Linked DNA regions of Diceros bicornis minor. The protein of the gene in region 1 purifies or fractionates together with the protein of each later gene. This does not show direct contact. Links are inferred from orthologs where the notes say so. Each region holds a gene or a part of one and is shown in the gene's direction. Other genes may lie near its edges.

Region 1 (8,003 bases):
AATTAGGGCCCACCCAACGACCTCATCTTAACTTGATCATCTGCAAAGACTGTCTCTCCAAATAAGGTCACATTCTGAGGTACTGGGGGTTAGCATGCCACCGTATGAATTTGGGGGGGACACAATTCAACCCTTAACACCCTCTATTACCCAAAACTCCGTGAATGACTCATCCTCTCCATGTGTTTGCTACACTTACCAAATGTGACCTGTCTCAGGAGGAGCTCCGGACTGGCAGGGACATTTTTTCTCCTGAATATCCAGGGGCACTTCCCTGAGCTAACTAGGGAACCTTACCACAACAGCGAGCTGGGTGCAGGGGGGCCCGACGCACCGAGGAATAAGACGCAGCCTTCAGTCAACATGCCTTCTTTCATCGAGTCCCAGCAAGCCTGCAGACGGGTGACCTTTTATCCACAACTTATGATCAAGGACCTGTGGGGGCGAAGTAATGAGGCAGATCTGTGAGCACCGGCCCAACCACTGCAGCCCTCCGCATCCCCCGGGGCTTTACAGCACTTCACAGTTTGCAACCCCCCACAGGTAGATGCTGTTCTCCCCTCTCCTGGCTGAGAACCGAGTCTCTTGAGAGCTATGAAGTGGGTGGCAGTCTTCAGTCTTTGGATGACAATACTGCAGGTACGTGCCCAATTTGGTTTCAAGGGCACCCGCCGGTGATTCTGGTATTCCACCATTTCTCACTGTGCGGACTGGCTGGCAGCCCAATGCTTCTCTTAGTACATCATCATAATTTCTAGGAGTTTTTACCATATATTTGTAGACTGTGATGTAATGCTGTGCTTTATCTCAGGCACGAACACTGAATATATCGACCAATAAGCTAAAGTCTTGGGTTGGGTATCGGGCACTGGGTGACACTGCGGTCGCCTCCCAGTCTCCATCAGGGTCAGAACTGCCCTCTGGCCAGGGATGGCAGTAGAGGCAGCATTCTTTCTGGTTGGCACCATGTGAAGTGAGTCAGAATGGAGGTCAGCCTCCTCCTGTGGCCAGCACGGGAAGCTCTCACAAATACTGAAGTTGAATTCGAGGCCATGGGCATGGAGCCCGTGAAGAAGCATTCATTCACCCAAAACGTCAGCAGCCCTTTGTGGATGTGGTTTTCCCCAGCGCTCAGATGTCCCACGGAGGCTGAGGCTGGCACTGCTCGACCCAGCGCCGGGGCCTGGCTTCCCCTCCCAGGAGACTCTCCAGCAGCTCCAGGGACAGTCCTGTCCTTTGCAGGCCAACCGGCATCGAGCGCCTCCTCTGTGCACAGGGCAGGCCCAGGCGCAGGGAAAGGGCGAGCTGGCCAACACAGACGCGCAGCTGATGGCATCGGCTCATCCCAGGCCAGAAGTTGGGAGGGACGGGGAAAGAGAGGCGGGCGGGCCGGCTGGAGAGTGGGTGCAGAGCTACGTCTGCAGAAAGCTGGGCTGCCTTCGTGGGCGATGCAGTCACCTATGGATCCCAGAATCGCAGCTCTCGTCAGGTGTGTGGGGAGCAGATAGAGGGTGTGACTGTAACCCAGTGTGGGAAGGCAGTGCTTGGGGACAGCAGGATGGGGGTAGGGCCAGATAAGAGCCATGAGAAAGCACTGACAAAGCCTGCGTGCTACAAGGCCTGCGCGGGGAGGCTGCAGAGAGTGGGGCTGAGGGAGATGCCGGATCTATCACCCACCTTCATCTTTCGCTCATTCTTAGTTGCACCTGTGAAATTCCCTGGAGCTCCGCTCCAGCTGCAAAATGAAATTGTGGGTGAAATGGATCCTAGAAAGAAATTTTAATTCTGGCCTGGGGTTGCCTGCTTCTAGGTAGCCCCACCCGTTGGAGTCCAGAGTCTGGTTCAGAGTCTGTTAGACACTGGGCCATCTGACAGCTCTCTCCCACTCAGCAAGGCCACGCCAGAGCTGCGGGTTCCTCCCCAGCACCCCGCCGGCCACCCGGGGGCTCCCCGCCAAGGTGGATCGAAGCCCGACTCCAGGGGCAGAGGATGGAGTGGCCGGGACTCCCTATGTCCCAGCACCCCTTCAGCTCAGTGGCAAGTCCTCCAGGCACCTGCAGCTGCGGCCGGCCTCTCCCACAACTGCTGGCCTCTCCTGGATTGCCAATGGGGTCCCCACCTTGTGCACCCCACCATCCATGTTGCTCCTTTGGCAGTGGGGAATAGAGCCCAAGCCCCCGACCCCGCAAGCCCGCTGTCCCTCGGGCCCTTCAGTCATTGCCCTGTGTCCGCTGCACCCACGTCAGGCCTCTGAGTTTGCTGCTCCCTTTTCTGTAATGTTCTTTTCCCAGATCTCTGCAGGCTGCCCCTTCCCCCATAAGGGCTCCATGCCTGTCCCCTCCACCACAACCCCGCTGGGCCCCACTGTCGGCCATCAGCCCCAGTGCTTGTGTGAGACCTCGAGGGTCTCCTCTCTGTGCAGCCCCATGCTGGATGGAGCGGCCAGCAGACTCTCAGGAGCACCCCGGCCTCAGTGGGGGTGGAAGTGGGAAGCCAGCAAGCATGCCTTGACGTCCAGAGAACCGTCAGCACCACTTTTATTCACCCAGAAGCTGGACGCCCAAGAGAGAGACGCGGCTCTCGGAGTGGCCCATGATGCACCCTCAAGAACCGCTGAGTGAGCCGAGAGCGAGTGTCTTGCAGCACCCGACGGAGCCGGAAGCATCACTCGTGTCCACTGACCACCGTTCCGTAAATCACACAGGTACCTGAACTATGTTTCGGAGTACTCAGAAAAACTAAAAGACAAAGCATCTTTCCTTGTCCACCGAGAGCAAAGTAAACTATTAACTTCTGGCTTAGAAACGTTCTCACATTCCTTAAGGAAAGATGCTGGGCTGCAGGGCAACACCTCTAGCAAGCTGGTGGGGAAGGCCTGGTCTCTTCCCCAAAGGAGAGCATATTCTGGTCTTTTCTGCTCAGGGCCGCCTTCTGCAGTTGGCAAAGTTGGGGTTTGCGTCAGCGGAGGGCAGGGCTGAGTTACTAGGAAGCACTTTGCGTCCAAACCTGGGTCTAGCTGAAGAGCACAGGGGTGGGGATCCTCCAGTCCTGTCCTTCGGGGGGAGTTCCTGGCAGGGGGGCGGCTTCACTAGGAGGTGACAGCTGACATGGGCCAGGCTGGGTGGGTGGCACTGTCCTAGGTGTCGGGGTCCACCCTGCGGGCTGCGGTGGAGACAGCCGGTTCAGGAATGAGCTTCTCATCTACCTGCCTCAGGCCCTTGTCTGCAGGCCAGTTCTCTGAAGGTGATTCAGGCTCTTCAGGGCCATGCACAAAGGTGTAGAGGGCTGAGGGAGAGTGGAGGGCATCAGGGTGGCATGACTGATCCCCAGGCCTTCTCCTGGAGGCGGGAGCCTGTGGTCTTGGTGCCTCTGGCCAGCCCTGAGGATTGAGGAGGCATGCATGGGACAGGCACGTTCAGAACAGTACATCAATTCTTCCCACACCTCCATTGAGCAGTTCCCATCTCAAATACATGGGGGTGGGGGAGTAGAGGCCCCTGACGCCAGGGAGCTGACAGTATAGCAGGAAGAAAGCCCAGATAGAAAGGTAACTGCTATACCAGGCATAAGGGTAAGGGGGAGAAGGTAGCCATGGGAAAAGCAGGGGAAGGCAGCATAAATCACATGTGCAAAGGCCCTGTGGCCACTGGGAAGAAGAGCCATGTGGCTGGAGCATGGCAGGCTGGGGGCGGGTGGCACCTGGCTGAAGAATGGAAGGGAGGTTAGAGGCAGATGGAGATGGGCCCAGGCCCAGAGCCTTCTGTGATAAGAAGCTTGGATTTCCTCTCTAGTGCAAGGAGAAACCTTAAAGGTTTTGAGCAGGGGACAATGGAATCTGATTTACAGTCTGGGGCCACTCCCAGGGACGAAGTGATGTGGGGGACCCTGGTTTGAGGGCTGTGAGGTGGAGGGGGCAGGTATCAAGGGGCACCCTGGGTCTCAGCGCTAGAGGTACCGAGAAGGCCAGGAGGAGCTGGAGGAGCTGGTCCAGGCCACGTCAGGGGGTCTGGTCCTGTACGATGTTAAATGAGTAAACCTCTGCCTGGGGGAACGAGCGGGAACGTGTGCGTGAGACACGCACCCTGCTCTGGAATTTTGCTCTTTCTTTTGCGACTGCTTTTGTGTCTGCATTTAGGAAAGTTCTCTGAGAAGTTTGCTAACTGCTCATTTACATCCTGTCTTCTCATTTTCCCTACATGTTCTAATTAATCCGATTTGGGAGGTATTTTCATAGGTGAGTACCAAGTGAGGGTTTAAAAGCATCAATTTTGCAAATAGCTACCCAGTTCCCTATCATCCTTTACTGAATCCACCTACACTTTCTCATCGGTTTATGAATTTTAAAAACATATAGATTACAGGATTGATTTCAGGATCGTCCACTATGTTCCAAGGAGCTGTACTGATAGTTTAGTGCTGTCCTGTTCTAATGACGTGCTTCTCCCTGAGAGGACGGCTATGGTGCCTGTCTTCCCCTTGGGGCCTGGCTAGCTCCCACCTTAGGGGAGCCGCCATGATCCTCGGGGCTGGGTCCCCTCTGGACTTCCGGAACTAAGCACAGGCTGCTCTCTCAGGGACTGGGGGTGGTGGCCAGAGGAGCCGGGCATGGACCCACACACCTGCCACCTCCCAGGGACCTCACCTGGGCTCAGGGGTGTCTCTGCTCTAACTACTCAGTGCTGGCTTCTGGCGCTTTGCTCACAGCCCACTGGGGAAGCTCGTCCCGGGGACTCCCGTCCAGGCCGCCTGGCCCAGATGCGCCCCCTGGAACCCAAGTGTAAGGCCAAGCTTTCCCAGAGAAACCCTCTGAGTTCCGACCTGTGGCCTCCCGCTACCCTGCGGCCGCCCGGAGCCGGAAGGCGGCGCGGGCTGAGCACCTGCAGCGCCTCCTGGCTTGGGCCCAAGGACATGTAAACCACTGGCACCCAGGAGCGTGCTCACGAGGCCTCTAGCCCGGTCTTGCGCCGCTGGCGCCCAGGAGGTGCGGGGCAGGTGCGTGTGTGGGGCAGGCTCGGCCCAGGGTGTGCGTGTGCGTGTGCGGGGCAGCTACGTGTGCAAATGCACGTGCCTGTGCAGGGCAAGTGCATGCGCGGGGCAAGTGCGTGTGCATGTGTGTGAACCGGGCAGGTACGTGTGCAGCTGTGTGTGCAGGGCAGGTGCGTGTGCTGCTGTGCGCGCGCGTGTACAGGCCAGGGGAGAGCCCCGTGGCCCCGGCGGGGCGGGCGGGCCCGGCCTGCAGCCGCCCGCCCGCGTGGTGCAGCGCGGCGCCCGCGCCTGGAACCAGGAGGCTGCTGGGCCGGAAGCCCCGCCCGCGCGCGCGCCCCTGTCCCCGCCCGCCCGGTGGAGCGGCTGCTGGCGCGGCGCGGCGCGGCTCGGCACGGCGGCGCACGGGCGCAGGCGAGCGGGCGGAGCAGCGGACGGCGCCCAGGCCGCCCCACGCGCCGGGCTCGCGGCGGAGCGCGCCGGACTGGTCGGGGCCCGCGGCCGCCCGCGCCTTTCAATGGGCAGCTCGCACTTGCTCAACAAGGGCCTGCCGCTTGGTAAGGCCGCGCGCGCGCACTTCCGGCCGCGGGCGGGGCGGGGCGGAGCCGGGGCGGGGCGGGCGCGCGGGCCCCCGGCTTTGTGTGCGAGTGCGCGTGCGCGCCGGCGTGCCCGCGCCCCCGGCCGGGGGCGGGGCCGAGCCGGGGGCGGGGCCGGGGCGGGGCCGCGGGAGTGCCGTGCGCGTGCGCGAGCTGCTGCGTGCGAGTGAGCGTGCGCCGGCGCCGCCGTCACGCCCGCCCCGCCCCCGCCGCCGCCCGCGCAGGTGACACAAAGGGGCGCCGGTCACCCGACCCTGCTGACCCCCGCCCCGGGGATCCCGCCTCCTAAGACCCCCAGTGTCCGCCCCGCTGGGACCCCGACCTCTCGGACCCATAGCCCTTCCCGGACCCCAGACTCTCAGACCCCCGGCCCCTGACCCCTGACTCGTGGACCCCCGAACCCCCGGAGCCGCGGACCCCAGTCCCTCGGACCCACAGCTCCTCCCAGCCTCTGATCCTTGACCCTCGGACCCCGGCATCCCACCCCGCCAGGACTCCGGAATCCCGGGTCTCGGCCGCCGCACTAGGTCACCTCCCTGTTCTCAGTGTCCCGTTACACGCTCCCGGGTACACTGCCGACCTGGCTCTGAGAGAAAGGACAGGATGCCGTGTCTCCTGGGCACGGTAACGTCCTGCCGGCGAGGACTGCAGGGCCAGTCACCTCCCTGCCCCACGGGAGCCCGCCGGGCCCTTCCCTCCCGGGTCCCCCCTCCCAGCGCCGGGTGATGCTGGGCCGCTCGGGCGGGGGCGGGGGGAGCAGCGGTGGGGCCGGGGGACGGAGGTTTTCCCTGAGGAGCGGGCAGGGTGGGCGCTGCTCCACCACTGGAATTTATTCAGGCTGTTTTATTGGCGCTTGTTCTTATCACAGGCTTTGTACTGGTATTTGAGGTTTTCACCCATTTTTTAAAAATGTATAAAATTACAACGTTCAGCTTGTGGGGGGCACCCTTCCCTCACTGGCTGGATGTCCTGGGCTCAGCCGTGCAGCTAGGGGTCTGCCTGGACTAGGCAGGTGGAGGTTGGGGGGCGGATCTCCCCTGTCTAGGCAGGTGGAGGTGGGGGAGGTCTGCCAGGTGGGGTGGGGTCTGCCCGGACTACGCAGGTGGTGGTGGGGGTCTGCCCCATCTAGGCAGGTGGAGCAGGGCCTGGGACAGCCACCCACACCGTTGAACTCAGCAAACCCTGTGCTGCGCTCCCTTCTCTGAGCCAGTCTGTTTCCTCAATAATTCAAGAGATCTGGACCCAATTCTGTTTGTCTCAAGGCACGGGTTTGTCCCCCTTGTGTTTTGAAAGATATCAGAACAAGGACCCTCACGGGCACTCTAAGCAGCACTGGGGACCAGCCTGTCTCCCCACTGGGGCCCTGAACCTGGACTGTCGGGGGCAGGCTGGGTTGGGGACACCCTTGGGTGGGTGTTGGTTAGATCGCCGGTTGGAAGATGCCTGCCATGGTGTAAGCTCCTTGGCAGAGCCCAACTCTCGGTGGCCATCTTGCACATTTTGCAGTTCCCGGTCAACATCCAGCTGCATGGGCCTCCTCCTGGGAGGGGCTGTTCCGGGGTCCGGCGGGGAGGGGCCATGTGGTCTGTCTGTCCTGTGGCAGCCTGGCTGGCTGAGGGCCCTCAGCTTCCTCCTCCCGCCCCTCCCCCAGCGCAGAGTTGCCTGTGGGAGGAGGAGCTGTAGCCGCACCTGAGGTTGGTGGCTAGAGCTTTCTCTGGCTGGGTCCCCAGCCTGGCCCCCTGCCCGCCTGCTGAGAAACGAGGGTGCCGCCCCGGGCATGCCCAGGAGGACAACTTTTAAGCCGGCGGTGTGTTGGAGAAGCCAGAACCTGGCCAGGGCCAGACCCTTTAATGCTGATCTTCTCTGAGACTGGTTGGGGCGGGGAGAAGTGGAGGCGGATGGCTTTTTTTCCGGGTACCCTGAACTGAGCAGTCACGGAGGTGAACCCCTTGCCTGCTCCTGCTTTTCTAGGCGGCTGCAAAGTCAGGTTTCTGTGGGGCCGAGAGTGGGGACCAGGCCGTCTGTGTGCGGAACCTTTCCTCTCCTTCTCAGGACCCACCATGCTCTTCGTCTGTAAGATGAAGAGCAGCTTCGTCTGTATAAGACGTACAGAGGAGCTCTCAGCAGAAAGCTGGCCCCAGCAGCATGGGCACTGAGGGTGCCTGCAGCTAGTGCAGAGCCGCCCGTGGGAGTCAGTGCAGCCCCTGCACTCTTGTGTGGGGCGGCATCTCCGTAGAGGAGTGACCACAGCCGGCCAGAGCACAGACCTGAGCCCGTTCCCAGGGGAATCCCAGCGGGTGATCTGGGGCTCCTCGTGTGGCTTCTCCATGCATGTCTGAGGTGGGGATGGCATCATGAAGCGGTATGGGATCACAGGAGTGAGCATGTGCTAAGTGTTGGCAGGGCCAGGGACATAGGGTGGGG
Region 2 (7,781 bases), on another chromosome or scaffold:
ACCTGCGTGGAGTCCCCTTGGTTGCCTATCCCCTTGGGCCACTCTCCTTCCCCTTCTCCCTCCCTTCTAAAAAGTGGGGGCCCTTGGTCCTCATCCCCTCCCCCCTCCCCTCCATTTCCTCTCCAGCTCCCTCCACAGCCTTAACCAGTAAAACAGGCGGCCAGCTATTATGGGATGGCTGCTCCCGGCAGCTCTGCAGGGAGGGGGCGGTCACCGCGGAATGTCTCTTGTGGGTGGCTATTATGGGATGGCCGCCTCTCTTTTTTGGGGGGGGGTGGGGGCTAACAAGGAGGAGAATTATTATGGGATGTGCCCTGCACAGCTGGGTGGGGCTGTCCCGGGTAGGTGAAGCTCTGGTGGGGGAGGGAATGGGAAGGAAAGGAAGGAAGAGGGAGGGAAGGAGCCGGGGAGGGTGGGGTGAGCCCTAGAGCCAGACCTGAGGCCTGGCAAGAGTAACTGGCTGGAGACGTTCTTCAGCGACAGCTGTTTGAAGGGGCCCTAGGGCAGGCCAGAGCTAGCCAAATCTGAACCCTGGGTCCTTCCACAGCTTGTGAGCACAGGGTTGCTGAGTCCAGGGCCTGCAGTGTTGGGCTGGCAGTGAGAACACCTGGGTTTTGGCTGTGTGCACACCAAAGGGAGCAGGGCTTCTGGGTGATCACAGCACCCAAATACTCTCTTCCCTCTTCACCTTCTTGGATTTGAGCCTTGGTACCATGGCTCTGGTGGCGGGCTTGGGCCTGGGGAGTTTTGCCACCTTATAGTCACACCGAAGGAACTGAGATTTGGTTGGCTCCTGAAGGACAAAGGCCTGTCTGGTCACTCCACAAGCCCTGTATGACCTGCATCCTGTTTAGCCATCAGAGTGCACTGTCACGGTGGCTTTTCTGCTCTAGGTTGTCTTCCCAAACCCCCTTTTCTGACAGAGCAAGAGAATGCTGGTCCTTAGACATCCTATGAGCAGAGTTTCTGGGGCTCACACAGACTGGAGATGGAGACAGAGGAACTATAGAGCACGTGCTGAAAACTCCCTGGACAAACCACTCTGAGTGTTATTCTAGGTTCTTCTGTACCATGGGATGGAAACAGAACTCTAAGGTAACTGGCTAGAGAGGTTGTCCCCCTGGGTGCATTAATCAGGAGATTATCCCACCCTTAGTCTCTGTGGACCAATCATGCTAGTGGTTTATTTATAATTGATCTGGGAGAGTAGTATGGGGCCAGGGTAGGGAGGGGGAGCCTAGAAGCATAAAGACCACAAAAGCAACACACAAACACACAGATGCTAGCCCTCTCTGGAACTCAAGAAGAGAGGAAAGGACTTTAACCTTCTCCCTGTGATGGTATCAGGGAGAGGAGGGGGATAAGAGGAGCAAGGGAGTGAGTGGGTAGAACTTGCAGGGATAGGGCAGAGGGCTGGGGTGGACAGAAGTTACCAGTGTTTGTAATCACAGGCAATAGGCTGTGACTACCCAGTTTTAAAACTCTCTTCCTGGTTTATATCATGAATCAGTGTAGTAATGTGGTGTATATATATGAGAAGAGAAGGCTATGGGGCAGATGGAGATATTATAGAAGGGAATATGAGGCCCAGAGGCAGGCTGGATCCCCTAAAGAAATGGGGAGAGAGAAGGGTGTAATAGGTATCTGGCAGCTCTATATACCAAAGAGAAGCTTCTTGAAATGAGATATACCCACATCGTGGTATCTTAAAAGAGCTGCCCCCTCTGCCCCAAGTGAGGAGCACAAAGTTCATTCTTAGTACTCAGAATAAGCATGGGGGAGGGTTTGCACAAGTGAATGGGGACCGATTTTATGTCAAGAGAATTTACTGGGGGAAGTGGCCTGCATGCCACAATGGATGTGGCAAAAGGGTGGTCTAGGGAATTAAGTCAGGTAGGAGCTGGTGGAAAGACTTATCAGCATCACTGGTGCTCTGCTTGGAAGCAAAGGGATGGTGATTTCCTGAAGCAAACTCTTGTCTTTCCTGAACTCATTTCTCCTTGCCAGTTCTCCAGTCCTTTGGTTCCCAGAGGAGGGGAGAATCATCTGGCCAGGCTCTTTCTCTAGGGAAGTGAGATTAGGAGGGCAATGTAGAGATGGTGTGAGGTTCGTCCTACTCACTTCTGGTCGGGAAGGGCCCCTCCTAGGAGGAAGTTCTGGTTTCTCCTCAACCTGTCCCAACGCCATAGGTCTTGGACTTGTGTGGAAAAGGCACATGAGAGCAGAGGAAGACATTATCTCTGGCTTGGGGGCTGTGTGTGGGGGAGGATGCAGAAAGGCGGCGGTGTTGGAACATTGGTTTTCACTCAGGTCCTGTTTCTTTGGGGGTCAGGAAGAGGGAAAAATGTCAGGCTTATGGACTCAGGTTCTCTGAGGGCCAAAAGGTTTGAAGATTGGGCTCTCTGACTTTCTGAGGCTGGGTCCCCAGGGCGGCTGCAGGGTAGGCGCAGTTAGGGAAGGGGATGGTATATGTTGAGAGGCTACCTTGTGGCATAATTGAATGAAGAAGACATCCTGGAATGTTGACTTGTACATGGGGAGGGGAAGATGGTGAACATTATACAATGAAGGGTTTTTTGGGCGTTGTAGAGTGGTGCCTCAGCAAGATGAGGATGGGGGCAGTTGGAATTATCATGAGACTTCAGGAATAACAAAGTGGGAGAAAAATATAGAACATTGAGGGTAAGCAGAATTTGGTGTTTAAGAATGAGGATAACAATTCTGGCATGTTGGTGAGTCTCAAGAAGGAAGCACATGATGATACTATAGGATTTAAGTATTAGAAACGCTGGATGAACATTGCTTTCCGATCAAAATCCCTTAGTATGTAGGGAACAGATAGGGGATTATCTTGACCATCCATCTATCTTGTAAATCCTTTTGGAATACCTTCCAGCCTCTGGAAGAACCACCAAGAACCTCTACTGGGATCTGATCTCTCCTGAGACCAGTTGGGATTTGTTTTATTCTCTATAACAGAAAATTGGGAAATAGCACTCAGTTATTCTTCCTTGACACCAGACATTCTATCTCATGGTTGGTTTGGTTGTTTATGCTTCTTGAAGGGAGGTACCTATGGTGCTTGCATTCCCTATGGTGCCCAGCTCTGTGCCTTGCTAGGTACTCTGTCAACATCTGTTGAATGACCATGAGTAGCAAAGAAGAGGGAGGGCAGGTCTTGGCTCTTAGTGTGTATATAGCAAGATCCTCAGTTCCTATCATGATGGGATGTCCATCCATGGGAGTGGCCTAGGGGTACTGATGAAAGGACCACCTGACCTGGGGAGGAGGGGGTGGGTGGAAAGAGGACTGCTGGAATGTTGAGAAATAGTCTTTAGATGGGAGTTTGTAATTATTATGGGATGTTCTGGGATGAAGTAAACTTGATGTAAGTGGCTCATCTGGCCAGCATGGTATTTGGTTGGTCTTACTTAAAATTTAAGAGCTGGAGGTAAGCATCTGGAGAATATCTGGACTTTGGCAGGATTGGGTGGGGCCCAAGGTTGACTCTCAGTTCCTAAGTCTCTGGAAATGATGGGATGAGGGAAGCAAGGGTCCATCCTAGACATCAAGAGGCTTTATGCCAAGATACTGCTTTGGCCCACTAAGGGATGAAGGTGTGTACAAGTTGGGGCAAGGACAGGGCAGTGTGGGTAGCCTGCTTCACACTGTCAGTTAGAATAGACTGACAGCATCTGGAGATGGGGGAGATATGAATATGAATATTATGGGATGCCTGGCTGGAAAGGTATAAGGGTGGTGGAGTGGAGATGAAGCATTATGGGATGTAACACTGGGTTGTGCTGAGAGTATTATGGTATGTCTGGTTGATCATGGGCTCCCTGCAATTATTATGGGATGTCAGGGTGTGGGTGGGGGAGTAAAATTACTGGATATCTTTCCAGCGTTAGAGGAAAGTTGATTAGATGTCCATCTAGGGTCACAGTAGGGCTGCCGATCATTATGGGATATCTCTTTGATAGGGGAGGAGTGGTTATCATGGGCTGTGGAGCTAGAATGAGTGTGTGAAGGCTGAGGGTGGTGGTGTGAGCATCTAGACCCTAGCCTGCAGGGGCTGAGGGCAGCTCCAGGGGGTTGGTTACTATGGGATGTCAGTATAGAAAGTGGGAGACTGATTATTACGGGATGTGTGTGGGAGGAGGCCGAAGTGTCCGTCGTTGTGTGTGTGTGTGTGGGGGGGTGAGTTTCTGACTATTATGGGATATCAAACTGGGGGTGGATGAAGAGTGGTTATTATGGGATGTCTATGGGGGATGGGGATGAGTATTATGGGATGTGAGGCCGAAGTGCTGGGAGGGGTGCTTATTATGGGATGGCCATGGGGAGGGAGAGGTGACGGATTATTATGGGATGTTAGCATTGGGGCCAAGAGTGAAGAAGTTGGCAAAGGATGGCTATTATGGGATGTCTGGGGGGGGAAGAGTTAGTTGCAAAAGGTCTGCAATATTATGAGATGTCAACAGCCTTGGCATACTTGTGTATGGAGTGTGTAGGGGGTGTCCGTGTGTATTATGGGATGGCCAGGAGGTGGGTGGTTGCCCGGGTGACGCGCGCGCGCGCGCTCGAAGGGGGCGTGGCCAATGGTTGCCTGAGCGACGAGGGGGCGGGGGTTGCCCGGGAGACCTAGGGAGGAGGGTGGCGGTAGTGGAGGGGGGGGTTGAAGTTGGTTGAGGTTATTATGGGCTGTCCGTGGGGGGGCGGGGCCTGTGCGGTGGGATTTCCCGGCCGGTGTTTCGGGCCCTTTAAGAAGCGACGCCGGAGCCGGAGCCATTTTCCCCCCTTCGGCCGCGGCGAGAAGGAGCCGGAGCGGGAGTGACACCGGGCCGGACCCAGCGCGACCTGCGGCGGCTCCGGGGTGAGGAGAGCGCGGGGTTCCCAAAGAGACGCCCCTCTCAGCCCGACCAGTCCCGAGGGTCATCCCTCCACCTACCCCTTCCTCAGGCGTCCCTCGACCCACGGACCGCCCCCTGCCCGCAGGAGCCGATCCTTCCCTTCCCTGCAGGGCGCCCCCTCCCCCCGCCCCCGCCCTAACCCGGAGTCTGGCTCCCCGCGACTCCCACCTCGGCTCGGGCTCCCACAGTGCCCGGCGCCCGCCCCCTCGCCCTTTGCTCACTTGCCCCCCGGGACACGTGGCCCGGCCCCCTGCCTGGTGGGAGCTCTCTCGCCCCCCGCGTCCCTGCCTCCAGCCCCCCGGAGCGCCCGAGCCTCCACGCCCCCTCGTCCCCGCGGCTTCTCAGGAGAACCTGAGTTGTCCCAGAGGACAGCCTTTGGAGAGCTGCGCTGTCTGGGGACTGGCCCCTCCCCAGGCGAACGGAGGCGCCCCCCCACCCCCAAGTGACCTTGTGTCCCCGAGCGCCTCGCCGCCTGCCGCCTCCCCCGGCTACCCCTGCGCTGCGGCCACTCGGACCCCCTCCCCCCGTCACACCCTGCTCAGTCCAGCCTGGCTTCTCTCCTGCCCCCTGCCTGCACCAGCCTGCCCTCGGGGGTGTCGCTCTTGCTCATCTGGGGGCTCCAGCTGGGGAGCCGGCTTCCGGGCTGCCCCCGAGGAGTGTGGAACTAAGTTCAGCCTGAGTGGCCCGGGTGCCCTACTCGGAGGGGGGGGGGCGGGGTGGTGGTGGGCGGAAAGAGCGGGGGGTATGGGGGAGGGGGACAGTGCGCGTCACTGACTGTTCTCTCTTTCTTCCCCCCTCCCCCGCGCAGTGACTCGGGCCAGTGTAGAGGGCCCCAGGCCGCAGGCAGGAGCAGCTGGGCCAATTCCCTGGCCGGGAGCGGAAGGGGATGGCGTCGGGCCTGGGCTCCCCGTCCCCCTGCTCGGCGGGCAGTGAGGAGGAGGATATGGATGCACTTTTGAACAACAGCCTGCCCCCACCCCACCCAGGTAACATCTTCCCCAGGGGCCCAGGACAGGAAGGAGGTATTTGGGCCCTCCCTAGTACTCTGGTGAGGTAGGGTTTCTCTCTCTCTGTGCATTCTAAGGTGGAGGGCATCCGAAGGGAGTGGTTGCCTTTGCGGAGCTCTTGAGGGGGTGGGGGGTGGAAGCCATGTGCCTCCTGAGCTCCGCAGATCGGGATGCAAGCTTGCTGCACTGTGTGTCTTAAGGAATCCTATGCAGTTCCCAGTTGAGGGAGCTCTCTGGGCTGGCACGCATTACCTTGTGTGGGTCCTTGGAGAAATGCAGGTATCTGGGACCCCTGGAGGCTGTGTGATGGTTGTTGGTGGTGGGGTTTGAGGAGGCCAGCCAGGCATCGGTGCTAGTAGCATCCTGTGGTTGCTGCTGTGGAAAGGAAAGAGGGAGTGCTGGTTACTCTCTATCTGATTATTTTTAGCTTCTGATCGGTTACTGGTTTTCTGTGCCTTTTCAACTGTGTGTAGTTTGAATTGCGCTCCTCAGCTGGCATCTAGAGCGCTTTTAGCCAGGCAGATTGCTGGAATGTTTTGAGTGGGAAAATGTTGGGGGCTAGGGGTAGGATGTAGTAGCCTGAAGGATAGACTAGGAGGGGCAAAGGCAGGCAGGTGACACCCTTGGCACCTCTCCTCCCCTAACAAGTGGATGTAATCCTGGCTTTCTTTCCTAGAGGCTTCTGCCTCTGTGCAGGTAGCCTGTGGTTTGGCCTGGTGGTGTGATGTGGTTGTGTAGGTGTGTTGGGGGTTTTGCTGTCTGTGTTTTGGGGTGGCTCCTTAGACTGGCCAAACCCAGATGGTTATAACACCCTGCCTGATAGGAATAGCCCTTGTCTGTTCTCAAATGATGATTGATGTCATGCTTCTAAGTGGATGTCTCGCTCTGGTCTGTCTGTCCTTCCTCAGAGCCCCTGGCTAAGTCACCTACTTGTTTTCTTGACACTTTTTCCTAGCTTCATTTTTTCTACATGCCATTTCTTCATCCTCTCTGCTTATATATTTTTTTTCATTCTGGAGCCTGCTGGTCCTGCTTTTGTTTCCCATCCAACATCTTTCACTTCTGGCTCCTCTCTCCTTAGCTCCAATGGCAAGTTGAGTTGATCTAGGAGAGATGTTTCCACATTTGGCGTTTTCTGAGTCAGAAGACTTTACTTCAATCTAAGGCTACTTAGGAAAGGGGTCAGTCTTGTTACTCAGTCTTCAACTCTTTCGATAAGAAATTTAGGCTTGATTCTCATCTTTTTGTGGGGCAAGGTGGCCAATTTCTGTGCTGTGGCCTGAGGTGGGGGTGGGGTGGTAGTGGTGGTGTGATCCTATCTTTTCTCTGGGGAGCATGAGAAGTAGTACTGCTGTCCAGGCAATGTTGGGTCCACATCTTGGCTTCCCATTGGCGCCTTGGTCTGGGGCTGCCCCTGTGTTGACTGGGAGCTGTGCAGGCTCCCAGGGTGAACTCTGCCCCAAGCTGTAGCGTGACCCAGTTTTTCCACCTGCCACACCCCATTCCTGTCCCTTTCCCAAATCTTTCTCTATACCTCAGTCAGTTTGCCACTTGCCAGGTGAGCACATTATCTGCCTGAAAAGTTTGGGGGTGTTATATGGATGGAAGGGTGTCCCCTTTGCCTCCATGTATTTGTCTTTGTCTCCACTTCCAGCTTTTATGGAGGTGATGAAGAGGAAGAACCAAGAGATGTAGCTGACTGGGGGGAGCGACATGGGGATTGCTGGGGAGAAGCCCTTAAGAAAATGATTCTTGCTGGTGAGATCCAGGCTGGTGTTCATTCCCAAGGGAATGGGAGGGGCTTTCTTGTGCCCTGCCTGATCCTAGGCTGAGTGGGGGGGAAGCTGACGGTGCTTTGTCA
Region 3 (7,924 bases), on another chromosome or scaffold:
CCCTAGAGCAGTCAAATTCATAAAGACAGAAAGTAGAAGGGTGGTGGCCTGGGGCTGGGGGAGGGGAAATTGGGAGTTGTTTAATGGTTATGGAGTTTCAGTCTTACAGGATGATAAGAGTTTTGGAGATGGATAGTGGTGATGGTTGTACAATATTGTGAATGTACTTGACACTATTGAACTGTACACTTAAAATGGTTAAAATGGTAAATTTTATGTTATGTACATATTACCACAATGAAAAAGTCACCAAAAAAAAATGTACCTAGCCTTCCTCATCAACAAAACGTCTTGACCTCTTATGACAACTACTCATCCACATCCCGATCACTTCTTTCTTTATTGTTCTGTTTCTAACACCATTAAACGTCCTAAATGCCAAATTCTACTTTCCTTCAAACTGTATTATGTCAGTGTCAAATGAGACCTCATGTAAAGGTCTTTGAGTATTTCTTCCCTGCCCAGTTTCATTACAAGTGTGTGTAGCCTACCCACAGTGAAAGAGATATATGGCTGGTTCCCTTATTTTATTTTCAGTTCTCTTAGGAAAGTTTGCATAAACATGCACATGTAATCAGTTATGCATGATGAAACATAATGAGATTTGGGGGCAGAAAAAGTCAATGGTTTTGCTGTTGTAAGAACGTGGGGTGTTAATAGGTCACAACCTATCTGTTCAGTGATTAACATACTGTAGGATTATAAAAAAGATAATAAGAAAAACAGTCCCCCTCTTCCCCAACGTGGGAAATCTTTCAAAAGAGGGACCCTTGAATTTGCCTTTCCCTAAATGAATTCTGCTCTATGGCCTACTTCCTTTTATTCTTCAAACCATTATGAACCACATCTGTGGAATTCTGTATCGGCTATTCTGCAGCCAGCTGTTGCCAAGTCTTTTACTTAAAGTGAAACGAAGAACAGATTTGAGGGCCCTCTACCTGCTGTGAAGGCCTGATGTCGTTACCTACAACTGCAAATGGTGAGAAATGTGACTGCCATCCTCAAACTGTTAGTATATCCTCTAAAATACTTTTGTCTCAGTTTCAAATCTGCACTAACTCTGTGATCCAACATTATTAATGCTGTCTTTGTTGTTAACCAAAGCATATGCATGCCAACAATGAGTAAAAGAAAATCTACTTTGCGATAAGAATAGTATTGTGGGTCATCATGAAGTTTTCCTATGAGCAGAAAACAAGGACAGATTGTTAAAAATGCTGATTCCCTGGGAAAGTTGTTACGTTTTCTGCTGTGGGGACAGATGAGTCAGGCATTCTCTGTGTCACACATATGGGTATATTTTGCACAGAATCTTGAAGAGATGCTTTGCTGATTATTAAACTATCTAAAAATTCAGGTGTGGCTATCTGCTGAAGGCGTCTTCAGACTTGGCTACTACGGAGAGAGAAGAAATATTCACAAAAGTCTTTCCAACAACATGTAGGTCTCAACCATGAGTAAATAAGCCTAAAGCACAGCCAGTTTGAGCCTACGTTCTCCTGCAGATAAAGGACTGCACGAGAGAAAGCTGTCCAGTAAGAAGCTATCTTAGTGTAAACACGGGACTATCTGGGCCCAGATCACACTAGAAGGAAGTGTGCCTGTGTGTGTGTGTGTGTGTGTGTATAAGAAATGTATGTTATCTATTTCATTCCTGGAGTATGCATCACCTTCAATAGAATTAAAATTTAAGAAAGAGAACTGAGAGAGTTTCCCACAAAAAGATTAAAAATATTCTGTTAGTTGACTTCAGCTTCAAGAGGTCTGAAGCCATTTTGTAGAAGACTATTTAAAATATAATCCCAACTTCGTCTCCTGTCGGCCAGCGGCAGCCATATGTTAAATTCCGTACTGATACACTCATGCTGACCTGCGAGGTCCCTTCCTCCAGCATCTGAATACAGTGCATTCTCTGAGTTTCCACGTTCTGTGAAAACGAAAGATTTTAGGAAAGAAAAGCAAGTTAGGATTGGGGTAATACTTTCGAAACCATTGGTGATGAAATAAATAGCCAGTTTCTATTTACACATGAAATGGTTACTGCTCCAAACAATATGAAGGCAGTGGGCAGCTATACTGTCCTAAGAGAGTCTTTACCTAGGAATACTTATTGACAATTTAATTCATATTCATCCCTAATCCACTCTGAAATGTCAATTTAAGCCTGTTCAGAGAGCTAAAGATTGCCCCTAGATTTAGGTGCATAATGTCATTCTCCTTTCTCAGATATAATTCAGAAAATCCTAATAAATTCACAAAGAGATAGAATTAATATGAAATATTTACTAAGTAGTGCACTTACATTTTTAAGCATGCATATTTAATAAATATTTTTTAGTTTGTCTTGGATTTCATACCATAGTTCAGAGAGTTTCACTTCCAGCTTTCAGACAGATGAGGCCTTTTTGGGGGGTTCTTTTGGTTTGTTTTTTAGTCTTAGCTATTCTATAATGCGACCCCTCAGAACCTTTCTTATCTAAATGTCTACCCATCAGGCGTCGCCTAAGTTGTCCAGACAAGCCACTGAACAGTTTCACTAAAATGCCATTTTCCTTAGCTTTTGAAGGAGCAGAGTCCCAAATGCTGAACAAATAATTCATTAGACAATAACTAGGGAAAATATATTTTCTCGTTGAATCTACTTCATTAGCCAGAATTATTGTCTGTTATAAATAGCCACATATATATTCAACCATTAATCTGTTAATATTGCTGACTATTTTCTACCCAAATATTGTAATTTACCTAAACATTTCAAAATAGGAGAACCTCTCCTGGGGGATTTTAGGGATTAGTATTTTCTGCAGAAAGAGTCCTTAATCTTTAATGTCTACTTTCAATGTTTGAAGATATCAAACAACTGAAATTCTGGCAATGCTAAGGGAATAGTATGGGACCTCATTAAATATTTTGTTTTTATACCTTTTTTTTTTCCTGGGGCAAGCTAATAATAGTGAGTCGACAAACCAACAACAACCAGTGACTTTGGGTACAAATAATGTAAACACATTTCTCCTGTCATGAATGGTGCTCTCACCAGTAATAAAACCATGCTGACTTTCAAGCTGCCATTTTCCAGAATGTAACCCTTGCCCATCTCTCAAATTACGTTCTCAGATTCTGCATGCATTGTAGGAGAAACATGGAAGAAAGGAAATCTTTTAAAGCACATCATCTCAGAACAGCCATAGCCCTGAGTAAAATCACATGATAAGCAGGCCAGAGAAAGGAGGCAAGTCATGAAAATCACAACTTTATGCGGAGTGTGGAAGTTTTGCTCACTGTTCGTTGATCTAAGTTAATTTTCAACACATGGAAGTTATTAGTGAGATACTGTAGTCTTAAATGGACCCAAGAATGCAGATGAAGGTAGTAGATTTTTATCATCCACTCAAATCATTCCAAAATACTACAAAAAACTATTAAAATTTCAAGTATGTAAATTTTAATCTCTTTGTGGGTGCATACTTATATATGTGATAATAAATCTATGTCTACATATGCCATTTATATTCATGTAATTAGTTGAATTGGGGGATACTTTTATTTGTGCAATTTTACTGTGTATTGTAATGAATTGTGGGCACATCAATCCTTTTCACTGAAGTAGACTTAAATTTGATTGTTCAAGAATACATCCCACTTAGGCATTCATGCTGAAACCAGCAACAATTGTCAATGACCTTTACCATGCCTGCTATCCAAATTAGTGCAGATCATTAATCACAGGGAGCTTACATGTTATGTGTTTTATGATTCGCAGATTCTTCTTGCAAAGGTGCTCACCCCTCTTTCTCCCTGTCTCTCTACTCCCCCCTTCCTCCATCGAAACACACACACACACCGCACACATGCACACAGACATACATCACACACGCACATCATACACACGCAGAATGGCCCGTGTGTCTGGGACTCCAGCTTTGCAGGCACAAGCTCCTCCCTTGAGCTCTTCTGTAGGAGTTTCTGTTGTAAATGCCATAAGTTGGAGAGGCCCGGAGCTGCATCAGCAGTGAACGTTAGCGAGCGTTAGGCACGGAGAAAAATGCCACAGCGGAAGGTAACGCCTGGACTGCAGCGCTGATTGTCGAGCGGGGCTACGTCGGAGTCTTGGACGGAATCCATCTCCACTGCGGAGTTATCCGGAGGAGAGGAGAACCATGTGGCCAGAAGTGCGGTGGGAGAAGACTGCGTTACCCTCCGCAGGCCACGGCTCCCTCGGTCTACGTCATCACCGATTCAGGGGCGCGCTCCCCCTCCCTCTAACCCTCCCGGTTCCTTCTCCTCTCCCGCTTCTCCTCCAACCCGTACCCCCGCCCCTTCCCTTTCTGCAGCAACCCCCCACCTCCACCCCCTGCCGGGTACCATTGGTGCTACTTGGAGTCAAATTGGGATTTCTATTCCCAGACTCAACTTATTGCAACTAACTACGGCCCACGGAGAGGAGCTGGGGTGAAGAAATGAAGTTTGAAAAACAGAAAAATTAGAGTTGAACTTTTCAAGGATCAAAATAAACATAAAAACAACAGTCATTTTTAAATTGCTCTACAGCAGAATCTTCGTTCTAAAGTCTCTCCAGGGGGACCCCTTTGATCTTGATTCAGGACTTAATTTATTGATACTCTGCGTCTGAATACCCCCAAACGCATTTACCAGGAAGTTTAGTGAAACGCACACCCTAAGCCATTTGCAACGCACACCCAACTGGGACCCCCGGAAAGATACCCACGTAGAAATCTGGATTCGAGGCTTAGTGCTCAGGTGCCTAAGTCGGCTGAAAATGCATCTCCAACACGTCTGCACGTATGGATGCGTGCGTGTGTGTGTATCCGTGTGTGTGTGCGTAAACAGCTTCCCGTAACTGGATCTGCGGCAGCGTTAGTCCTTGAGAAAAGGGGTGACAACTAGCCACTGGGATCGTGATTCAGTGCTATGAGGGGAAGAATTATCTGCGTCTGAGTCATCGCGAGCCTCCAGACTTTCCCCGCAGTGTGGCAGAACTTTGTGCTGATGAGACAATAGTGGAGCGTGTGCGTTTCCTACAGGGCAGACCATTCCGGGGCTGGGGGAAGCCTGGGGCCTGCGCCCGGCCGCAGGGGCCCAGCCCCCTCTCCGCGCGGTGCAGCCCCTCGAGCCGGGCCGGCGCCGGGGTGCCCGCGGGGCTGGCGCGTCCTGGGCGCGCGCGGGCGGCGCGGGGAGGGGGCCGGGCGCGTGGCGGGCCCCGCGCGCCCTCGCGCGTCCCCCGCGCCCGGGCGCAGCTGGCGCGGTCGGTCTAGTGCAGCGCTCGGCTCCGCGCCTCGGGCGCTCGGCTTCACCTTCAGAGGCGCGGGGCGTGCGCGTCCTCCTCCTTGGGCCCGCCGCCTCCCCGCCAAGGTAGGGGTCGGGGTCGGGGGCGCTGCGGGGCCCGCGGGGGGCGGGGGCGCGGAGACCCGGGCCTGGAAGTGTCAGAAACCCGGGCGTGCGCCGCGGGGGTGGGGGGCGCTGAGGAGGGGCTCCAGGGCGCGGGGAGGGCGGCTTGGCTTTCCCTGTTGGTAGTTGCTCCGCTCCGCAATTCCAGGAGAGGGAACATGCAACTTCGGGCGGCGAGGCTAGCGCCCGGGAGGTGGTTTTTACCGCAGTGGAGGGGCGGGGTGGGGGCCGGGGTGGGAGCGCGGAAGAGGCTCTGGCTTTGTACACTTCGTCAAAGGCGACGCGGGAGGAGGGGAGCTCGGATGTGCTCTCCATCCATTAGGAGACAAAGAGCAAATTGCCTTACTTTAAAGTAAAACGCTCCGGCTAATGAAGGTGGGTGATGGGGCTGCGGGCCCTGAGGAGCCGCTTCAATTATTAAGGGTTTGGCTGATGGGATCGATGCCTGTGGGCTCTGAGCGCTGCTGCCTCGGGGACGTGTTTGCGTGGGGGGGTTGTTTTTCCTCCCCCCTCCCCTGGCTGCATGCTTGTCAGCTGGGAGCGTATAAGTGACCCTAACATTAAAGAAGTGAGAGCGCCTGAAGGGAAGTTAGGGCAGGGGTGGGGGCGGGGGCCGAGGGTTCTCGCAATGACTCCGAGAGGGGTGGGGAGAGGGGATCTGGGTGGCAGGGACTCCTTGGAGATGCGCCCAGCCTCGCTGGGGTGGGGGTGGGGGAGGTATTGATCCCGGTATATACCCGGGTATATACAAGAAAAGAAGAATGCTGTGGGGTGTGTGTGTTTGGGGGGTGGGGGTGGAAAAGCGCGTTGTCTGCCATTTCCAGGGAGAACTAACATACTGAGTAGTTATGATCAGTATTTAGATTAAACCGCCTCGTCAAGTTTTAAAGAAACTTTGTATGAATAAGTTTGTTAAAAGCCAGCCGAGTTGGGTATTTAAAACAGCGGTTTATAGACGAAGATTGGTGTGCGGTGACAATCAGCCATGGTGGGCTGGGAAGCCAATGGACCCCTGCTATTAGGGACCAGAGAGACCTAGCCTTTTGCCCGAAAAATGTGGGTCTGTAAATTAGTCCCATTTATTATCAGCGTTAATAAGCTCCCCGCAGCAGACCGGGATCAGACCGGGAGCTTCTGGCTTGTGTATCTGTATATTTCTCATTCCGCTGGGCTTATTGATAAAGAATTACTTGGTCTCTGGGTGTGCAAAGATCAACGTGCTCAGCTCTCTTTTTAAATATATTCATTCTGTGCCTTATTTAATCCAGATGCACAAAAAGCCATTTGCAGCTGCATTGTTGGTTTACATTTTTTTTGAAAAGGCGACTGGTGTAACCTGTGGAATTTGAAATGCAAATAAAAGCCTGTAGGAGTTGAGGCAGAACAAATCAGCATTTATAAAGTGAAAAAGATTTAATGTCTTTGAAATCATTGCAGAGGAAAAAAACTGGAGAGGGGGAGTGATTTTTCAGGGAGTGAATTGTGACGTCAGGTCTTTTTGGAAAAGATGTTATTTTTAAGGTCTGAAACCCGCGTATGTAAAGTGCTTACAGGAAAAACAGATTACAAGATTAACATCTGTTAACATGATCGTTTATCTCCAGCCAAAATTAGGTCAGTTCTTTCTTAAGGAAACACGATTGCTGGCGCATGCTTAAATAATAAAGTTAAAATAATGAGTTCATAAATTAGGACAGGCGTTTGTTAATAATCTGACCTGTGAAAAACATTTTTTAATTTCGAGATCAATGAAAGGTCAAAGTCCCTTTTGGGTATTGAGAACAACTCTTCACCCTGCGTCCAACCCTCCCGGATGGCCCCCTCCCTCCTTACTCCGAGCTCCTCTCCGCCCCCACCCCGGATTGCTAATTTCCCTTTTCAGCCATTGTGGAAGTACAAAATATGTCTAAGTGGATATTGTCTGACGCCCCCCTCGTTAAAGAAGGCAAACTCTCTCCGCGCAGATGGCTAACTTTCAGAGCTCTGCTGTTGTTTTACCATTAAATGAAACGGTAGGGAGGGGGGTGAAAAAAAGAAGGAAACAGCCTCACAGAGTTTCCCTGCCCCCTGGGCGTGAGTGACGGTTCTGCCGGCCAATCCGCAGCGGCTTTCTCCATCCCGGAGGTAATTTGGGGGGTGTGTTTGTGTGTGCGCGCGCGCGCGTGCATGCGCCCATGTGTCTGCACACTAAGTCCGACCAGCGCCGCGCATCCGCAGGCTTCTGATTTGCACAGCTGTGTGCTGTAGACGTGGACACGCTTTTATCCGAGTCTGCAGCTAGATGGGCACGCAGCACTCCCGATAGAGACCTTGCCTCCTCCGAGTGTCCTCATAAGAGGCGCTTTCAGATTCAAGTGGAAACCTGCAGAAGGGGAAGAAAAGAGGAGTGATGTGATTGTGCTTCTCAACAATTGGGGAATCGAAATGCGCGGTTCCTTCCTTCTCGTTTCCACGCGGCGCGCCTGGGATCCGGGTGACGGAGCCCACTCGCCAGGCGCGAAACATACAGAGAACC
Region 4 (7,272 bases), on another chromosome or scaffold:
AACCCTGAATTTAGGGAACCTGAATCTTTTATAATGGGTAGTATGCATGCGTGCCCTTTGCTACAGACAGGGTCATTTTCTCTATCTTCCAAAGCTGTTCCCTGTACAAAGGTCTTTGAATAGATTGTTTGGAACAAAAGGCATTCAGTACCTTGGCTCTCAAGATATTCAGAAACCCATGGAGAGTTGTTTCCTAACAGAAACCTATAGTTTCTTAGTAGAAATTACCAGAAGTCACTAACTTCTAATGCATATTTTGCATGAGTTAGGATGGTACTCAGCTGCATATAACAAAATCCTGACTACAGTGGTTTAACCAATGTGTTTGTTTTGTTTTTTCCCTGCATGTAACCAGAAGTCCAGAGGTAGACAGTCCAGGTCTGGTACAGATATAAATGAGGTCATCAAGGACCCAGGTCCCTATCTTCCTGCTCCACCATCCTTAGCATTTATTTTTCATCTGATGGTCCCAACATGCATACTCCACCTCCATTTGTACAGTTCTGGTGCTCCGTGGAGAGAAGTGGTTATCAGATTTGAAGGAAAGTCAAAAAAAATTGAGCTAGGAAAGAGGAAGAATTAAGATATATACATAGAGTAGTTAGGAGACAATAGCAAGTAAATTTTCCCAGACACAGTGTGGGTGTAGAGTTTTACTAGAAAATTTGTGCAAGTAAATAGATTGGATCAAAGTAATACCATGTTTTGTGGGTCATGAGCAAAGCATTAACCAATTAACAAGCTAACAGGGGTTACTTGAGGGGTTTAATGTAACTGAGTAACTTAGTACATAAGCTATGATTCAAAAATATATTTTTAATGAAAATGGGCAATTTTAAATTTTATTACACAAATGCACAGTTCAAATAGGACTATAATCTTTCATTGTTTGGTGCTACTGTTCTGATTTATGAGTTACAGCTTGTAGTACTGTGTAAAAATAGGCACCATGCTTCCAGGATCAGAATTCAGCTTGAGACTGTTTTAGTTTGTGACAACACCCCAGCGTTAGTCACTGTACTCTTCTACATTCTGTATTATCCTATGGAATTGCTACCTAGAATTTAACACCTTAGAGCAGAAACAAGCTTATGCAAATAATTCTTTTATAGCAACTAAAAATTAAGCTATCTGCCGCAGTTGATAGCAGGATTTAATTTTTAGCATAGACTGAGGCAATCAGTTTCTAAATAGTCCTATCTCTAAATAATCCATTTATGTTTAACAGATCATTTCATTGAATAATCTCGAAGCACTAAACATCTTCAAGATTGGAAAAATAAATTCCTATAGACAGAGAAGGAACTAAAGAAAAATAGTTTAAGAATAAAGACAATCTTCAAGTACTATGAATGAACCACGAATTCTAGAATTTTGTGAATGAACCATGCTCTCAACTTTTCTTCTACTGTATATTGTCTAAAATTCTCTTTTTTCTAATGGTAAAAATGTTTGATAGAGATGAGTTGGAATATAGTAAATGAAGTTTGGAGCTTTGTCAATGGATTTCAATAACTGATTCTACGTTTAGCTCTCATGATCTAAAGCTCATTATATGTGTTTAGGGACATAATTCTCATGGCCTGCTCTTACCACTGGATTAAACTCCTTCTCCAATGCCAGTTTCTAAGGGTAAAATAATTTGCTTCTATTGGCTTAAAATTATTAAATAATAAATAATGTAACAGGTTCTTCAACCATTCAAAATATATGTCTGGGTTCTTCTTATGAATTCAAGGCTAGGTGCTATGGATACAAACAATAATTATTATTACTATTATTATACAGTAATCATAATAATCCTTTCTATTCACATAGATCTTTATTGTTGAATGTTGTATTGTATTGAATTGTATTGTATTGAATATTGAATACTATTGTATTGAATTGTATTGTATTGAATATTGAATACTATTCAGCCATAAAAAAAAGACAAAATTGTGCCATTTGTGACAACATGGATGGGTCCTGAGGGTATTATGCTAAGCAAAACAAGTCAGAGAGAGAAAGACAAATACCATAAGATTTCACTCATACGTAGAAGATAAACAAACACATAGATAAGGAGAACAGATTAGCAGTTACCAGAGGGCAAGGGGGTGGGGGGAGGGCCAAAGGAGTAAAAGGGCACATGAGTATGATGATGGATAAGAAACTAGACTATTGGTGGGGAACACAATGCAGCCTATACAGAAACTGAAATACAATAATGTACACCTGAAATTTACACAATGTTATAAGCCAATATGACCTCAATAAAAAAATTTTTAAATACTATTCCATATTAATTTTCTTATTTGAGCTACTCAATATTCATATGAGGAATTACTCTCCGAGTAATACAGCCCCATTTTAGAGATGAGGCAATTCAGACAAAAAAAGTTTAAGAGACTTGCCCCAAGTCATAAGCACTGGAGATACAATTATGTGCAAGACAGACATGGTCCCTCCTCTCCTGAAACTCTATTCTAATGAGAACATTCAGAGAAGTTGTGGGCAACTGTAACATGGTAAGTATTGAGCTAGAGGGGTAGAAGTCACAACCACCATGTGAGGAGCACAGAAAACAGTCTTGGGGGGAGGGGGTAGAGTCAGGGAAGTTTCCTGAAGTCTCATTTCAGACTTCACTATGTGGGCTCTGAGAAGAACATTAGTTTCTACTAAATTAACTTATTCTGTTCTCAGAAACTAACAAGTTGATTTTAGACTTGATAGAGCAAAACTTTGAAAGTCAGTATCATGTAATTAACTTTACCTCTAACCTAAGTGTAATGTTTCTTACACTGTGATTCCCGTACCAACTGTATCAGGTACCTGGGGTGCTTGTTAAAAATATAGACTTGAGGGAGGAAAAGCTGGGCTACCCTGGAATTACTTTTTCTAAATTTGGGGGGTGGGGGAGGAGGTCCAGGAAAATTCCCGCTTTAAGTAGGAACACCTTGGGAATTTTGACGTCAAACAGCAAAAATAAAGAGGGTATTTTTGGTAGCGTCTCTAAATGGTTCCTGTTTCAATAAGGACTTTTTTTTTTTTTTTTTTGATGGGGGTGTGGGAAAATGTGTTATATTTGGGGGAAATTGTAACTGATAGAGGTGGGCTAAAAGTGCTACACTGCAGACTGTCCGCCCCCGACCCCTCACCCGCAAGATGGCTGGTTTACAGTGGGTGCTTGATAAATGTTTGTTGACTTGTTGAACACAGGGACACAGCTATTTATAACTTCCATGAGTTTTGCAAGTCCTTTTTCTTCCCTTTCTGCTCCAATGTCCAGCCAGCATCAGCAGCACAGTGGAGTAGCTAGCGTGTGTGAATTGTCGGGAAAGAATGAATTATTCAAATCCCAGACCATCACCAGTTGAGAGAACTAAATTCCTTAATCTCCCCCATTTATAAAGAAGGAATAGAAATAATACTTACACCCCAGTGTTGTTGGAAGTCTATACTGAGTTACAGGTTATCTACTATAAATAGGTATCAATGAAACATGTTGTAAATGCAAATACTTAGAACCGTGCCTTACACACAAATTGCATTCTTTAAACGCTCATTCAAACCCAGACAGTACACTCTACTTTTTAATCTGTTAACAGGTCCTTCTACCAGGTCAGAACCTCGGAGCAATTATCAGTAAAAAAAAATCAAAGAACAAATGAATAAACGTGAAAACCAAGGAGACCCGGCACAGGGTCACTGGACTACGGACTAGCCGGCTCGTGGCAACCACAAGGGGCTCTAGAGGGGTCTTTCTCCGCCCGGCTCGCGGCACGTGGTCCGCTCGGGCGGGAGCTTCGCGACAGTGGGGGAGGGGAGCGGCGTGCGACGACGCAGAGGGGGTCTCCGCAGCCAAGGCTACGGTTGGGGAGGCGCGGACTGCGCACGCTCGGGATAGGCGCAACCACTGTGTGAAGATCCGGAGGGGGGAGCGTTCACCAGGCTCCATGCTCTCTTTATGTAAATACGGAGCGAAAGCCTGTCCTTTTTTCTCGTTTTACGACCCTACTTGGCACTGCCCTCTGCAAGCTGTTCATCATTGAAGGCCTCTTATGCCAAGACTGAGGAGGCCTATTTCTCTAGTCGTGTCCCTCCCTCCCCCGTGGGGGCCACAGTGGACGCGTCCCACCTCCCCTCGGCCTCCGGAGGTGGTTGGGCTGCCCCCTCCCCCTCCCCAGTGTCGCGAGTTGGCGCCGCTGCCAACCCTCGCTCCGCGCTCTTGGCCCCTCGGCCGGGCGGTACCGAGCCCTCCCGGCGCCCCCTCCTCGCCTCCCACCGGCTCGCCCTTCCCCGCAGGACTGCCACCCGCCCCTCCGCCCCAGCCCTGTTCTCTCCCCGCCGAGCCGCGGCGGCCGCAGCAGCAGCAGGAGGAGGAGCCGGAGCCCGGGGGCGGCGGTGGCCGGGGAGCCCATGGCGTACAGTCAGGGAGGCGGCAAGAAGAAAGTCTGCTACTACTACGATGGTGAGGGGCCGCGCCGGGCCAGGGGGCGGCAGGGCTGGGGCGCCGGGCCTGGGGCCGCCGTCGCGAGTGGGCGCCGGTGCTGAGGGGTGGGGAGGAGGAGGGACCGACGCCTGGCCGCATCTTCACCCGTTCCCGACCCGACGCCGGCAGCGGGAGACCCGCGGAGGTGCGGGCGGCAGCCAGGGGACGCCCCACTCCTCCGTCCTGCCCTTCTTCCTCCGGCGGGTCGGTCTGCCGCTCCGAAGTGGCCGCCTCTGGGACGTGGCCGGCCATCCCCGGCTTCGTGGGTGCGGCGAAGGGGACGGCCCTCGCCGGCTCCTCTCCTGCCCGCCACTCGTGGGAGCGGAGGTTTGGGGGTGCCCTGCTGCGGCCTCTTGCACCCGACCCCTCCCCCGGGTCAAAATACCTACCCCGGCCGAGCCTGCACACAAAGCCCTGCGGCCTCGAGAGCTCCGCCCCTGCAGCCCCTTCCCTCCCCATCCCTGTGTGCTCCCCTCCCCTCGGTCTGCGGCTGGACCGAGCATCTTCTTTCTCCGCCTCCAGCCTCGCCCCGGACCACTGGACCCGGGTCGGTGCTGGAGAGCAGTTCCCGAGGGTGCAGGCCCCCCTCCGGCCTGGGGCACACTCACACCCCTGTTGTGCGTGGGCTCCATCCCTCTCCTTTGTTCGCCGGGTTCTTTGAGCGCCACTTTTCTCAGGATTCAAATGAAAAGGCTGCGCTTCCTCAATTAAAATCAGGGTTTTCGAGTTTGAGGTAGTCAGCCTTCGCGGGAAACATGACGGTGGTAGGGAAACGTGGAGCTGTTAATGCTGGTGTTGTGGATCCGAGACTCGATGGGTTCCGGCTTGCCTCTGTGAGAGGTGGTTACCACCCACTTCTTTGTTGCTCTTTGTTCGATCAGGAAATACACCCTGCTCTGGAGGTTTAGGAGAGCAGGGGCATCTTGCTTGTGAAAGCTGTTTCTAGGTGGTGGGAGTCCTGGTGTAGGAAAACTTTGAGGAGTAGTGCAGAAGTACTAAATAATCAGGTAAGCTTGAGCTCACGGTACAGTAAATTGTAAAAGTCAGGTAATTTAATTTTAGGGGTTCTTCTAATTTGAAGTTTGGGCAGTAACATTAAATCTCTGAAACCTGTTTCCTGCGCTAGTCTGAATTATACTAAGCGGAGTAGTAACCTGTTTTACACATTTCATAAATAAATAGGCAATAGTAAATAGTTGGTAAATAGTTCCTAGTAGGTTACTCTCCAAAAAAAGAATTCTAAAATTTAACGAAGAAGCTAGGCTCAAATGACCTGAAAGTCCTATCTGATTTGTCTGAAGCAATATAAATTTTGGAAGCTGTTTGCTACATTCGGTGTACTATAAATCACAAAATCTTAGAAAGGTAAAAAGACCTTAGAGGATTGGGTGAGAATAAATCTGACTTCAATTTGAAAATGGCCATCCCGTATCTCTTCAGTTAGCGAGGATGAATCTTCTAATGCCTGTTTATATAAAATAACCACCTGTGTCATTTGTGGAAAAATCTAAAATCTTAGAGAACGAGTAAGTTGTCTGATATTTGATAGCTAGTACTAAATAGTAACAGCCATATTTTAAAAATATGTTTCGAGAGGACCATGTATGTGTGTAATACATATTGATTTGAAATTGTGCCATTGTGGAGGGGTGGAGATGGGAGTATGTTTTAATTTTAACATGAATTATTAAAGTTTCTTAAAGTTCATTCTTGGAGAATTCATGCATGTTTTAGGTCACTGGTAAAACTCTTGCTTTGCATTCCCTGATCAAATTGAAAAGTAAACCATGTGTGTAAGTTACTTTTTAAAACTATGTTGTTTCTAAGGTTTAGAGATTTGTTCTTGTCAGGGCTTGAGGTAAAGAAGGCTGGTTTTAAAAAGTTGGGGGGAGCACAGGACAGATAGAACTGTTTGGTGGTTACCAGGGGCTAGGGGGTTGGGTGGGCACAAGGGGTGGAGGGATGCACTTGTATGGTGACTGACAAGCAATAATGTACAACAAAAATTTCACAATAAAAAATTAAAAAAAAATAGTTTGGGGGTACTGAGGCTCTTCTTGCTGCTGTTGGTTGCTGTTGACAGTGATAGGCTCTAGTGGAGTAAACTGCTTGTACCTTCTTGTCACAGGCTTGAACTGTGGAACCAGGGGGTACACTTAAGTGGCAGTTTTATAAACAGCTGTTTGTTCGTTGGCTCATTTATGATGAGCCTTTGTTGAGGGAATGGGAGCCAACTCTGGTCCCAATGGCGGGATGCAGGCTTGATAGGTAGAGTGGGAGTATCTAAGTCTCGTGATTGTGACTTAATCAATACTTTATAGTCGACCATTCAGCTGCTTCACCTGGTGGCCAGCAACAGGTGTGGAACTGAATGTAGGGAAGTCTCTGGTTGGATTGTCTTTTGTCCAAGGCTCTTCCTTGACTCATTTTTAGAATAGAATTTGTCGTTGCTTACATTTGAAATATTCTTTGGATTTTTGTGGGGAGTCTAATAAAATATTCTGCAGAGATTATTAAATTTGATAGGTATCGTTATGCTAATTATTAGTATATGATAGTGTGCTAAGCTCTGCACAATTAATTCCAAAAGCTTTTTTTTTAATTGTGAGGAAAGAGGATGCAAGTAAAGCAGCTTCTGCACCAAAGAGTTCTATGACTCGAAGGTATACAACATGGTCTGGATTGGGAGTGGGTAGTATCGGTAGAAATAGGGCCTGAATAATCTGCCAGCCTAAATTAACTGGTTTTAACTTGTTGGTAAAGCAAGTAGATGGAAGAAAGATAAGGAGGAAAAGAGT

What was found.
Region 2: the proteins of CTBP1 (region 1) and CHD4 purify together in Homo sapiens (affinity purification with mass spectrometry; 3 studies listed by BioGRID and IntAct, with this or other methods). This does not show direct contact. The link is inferred for Diceros bicornis minor from reciprocal best matches to the Homo sapiens genes CTBP1 and CHD4.
Region 3: the proteins of CTBP1 (region 1) and ZNF516 purify together in Homo sapiens (co-immunoprecipitation; 4 studies listed by BioGRID and IntAct, counting the BioPlex papers as one, with this or other methods). This does not show direct contact. The link is inferred for Diceros bicornis minor from reciprocal best matches to the Homo sapiens genes CTBP1 and ZNF516.
Region 4: the proteins of CTBP1 (region 1) and HDAC2 purify together in Homo sapiens (affinity purification with western blotting; 7 studies listed by BioGRID and IntAct, with this or other methods). This does not show direct contact. The link is inferred for Diceros bicornis minor from reciprocal best matches to the Homo sapiens genes CTBP1 and HDAC2.

Annotation. Positions count from the first base shown.
Region 1 is NC_080747.1:644,139-652,141, reverse strand, and holds the start of CTBP1 (C-terminal-binding protein 1), read left to right. Parts: upstream 1-5,001; 5' UTR 5,002-5,500; coding exon 5,501-5,540; intron 5,541-8,003. UniProt on the Homo sapiens protein: Corepressor targeting diverse transcription regulators such as GLIS2 or BCL6. Has dehydrogenase activity. Involved in controlling the equilibrium between tubular and stacked structures in the Golgi complex.
Region 2 is NC_080756.1:55,089,665-55,097,445, forward strand, and holds the start of CHD4 (chromodomain-helicase-DNA-binding protein 4), read left to right. Parts: upstream 1-4,776; 5' UTR 4,777-4,876; intron 4,877-5,721; 5' UTR 5,722-5,799; coding exon 5,800-5,899; intron 5,900-7,781. UniProt on the Homo sapiens protein: ATP-dependent chromatin-remodeling factor that binds and distorts nucleosomal DNA. Acts as a component of the histone deacetylase NuRD complex which participates in the remodeling of chromatin.
Region 3 is NC_080755.1:64,966,682-64,974,605, reverse strand, and holds the start of ZNF516 (zinc finger protein 516), read left to right. Parts: upstream 1-4,916; 5' UTR 4,917-5,030; intron 5,031-5,245; exon of another isoform or gene 5,246-5,373; intron 5,374-5,724; exon of another isoform or gene 5,725-5,784; intron 5,785-7,924. UniProt on the Homo sapiens protein: Transcriptional regulator that binds to the promoter and activates the transcription of genes promoting brown adipose tissue (BAT) differentiation.
Region 4 is NC_080762.1:21,797,694-21,804,965, forward strand, and holds the start of HDAC2 (histone deacetylase 2), read left to right. Parts: upstream 1-4,260; 5' UTR 4,261-4,401; coding exon 4,402-4,453; intron 4,454-5,360; exon of another isoform or gene 5,361-5,481; intron 5,482-7,272. UniProt on the Homo sapiens protein: Histone deacetylase that catalyzes the deacetylation of lysine residues on the N-terminal part of the core histones (H2A, H2B, H3 and H4).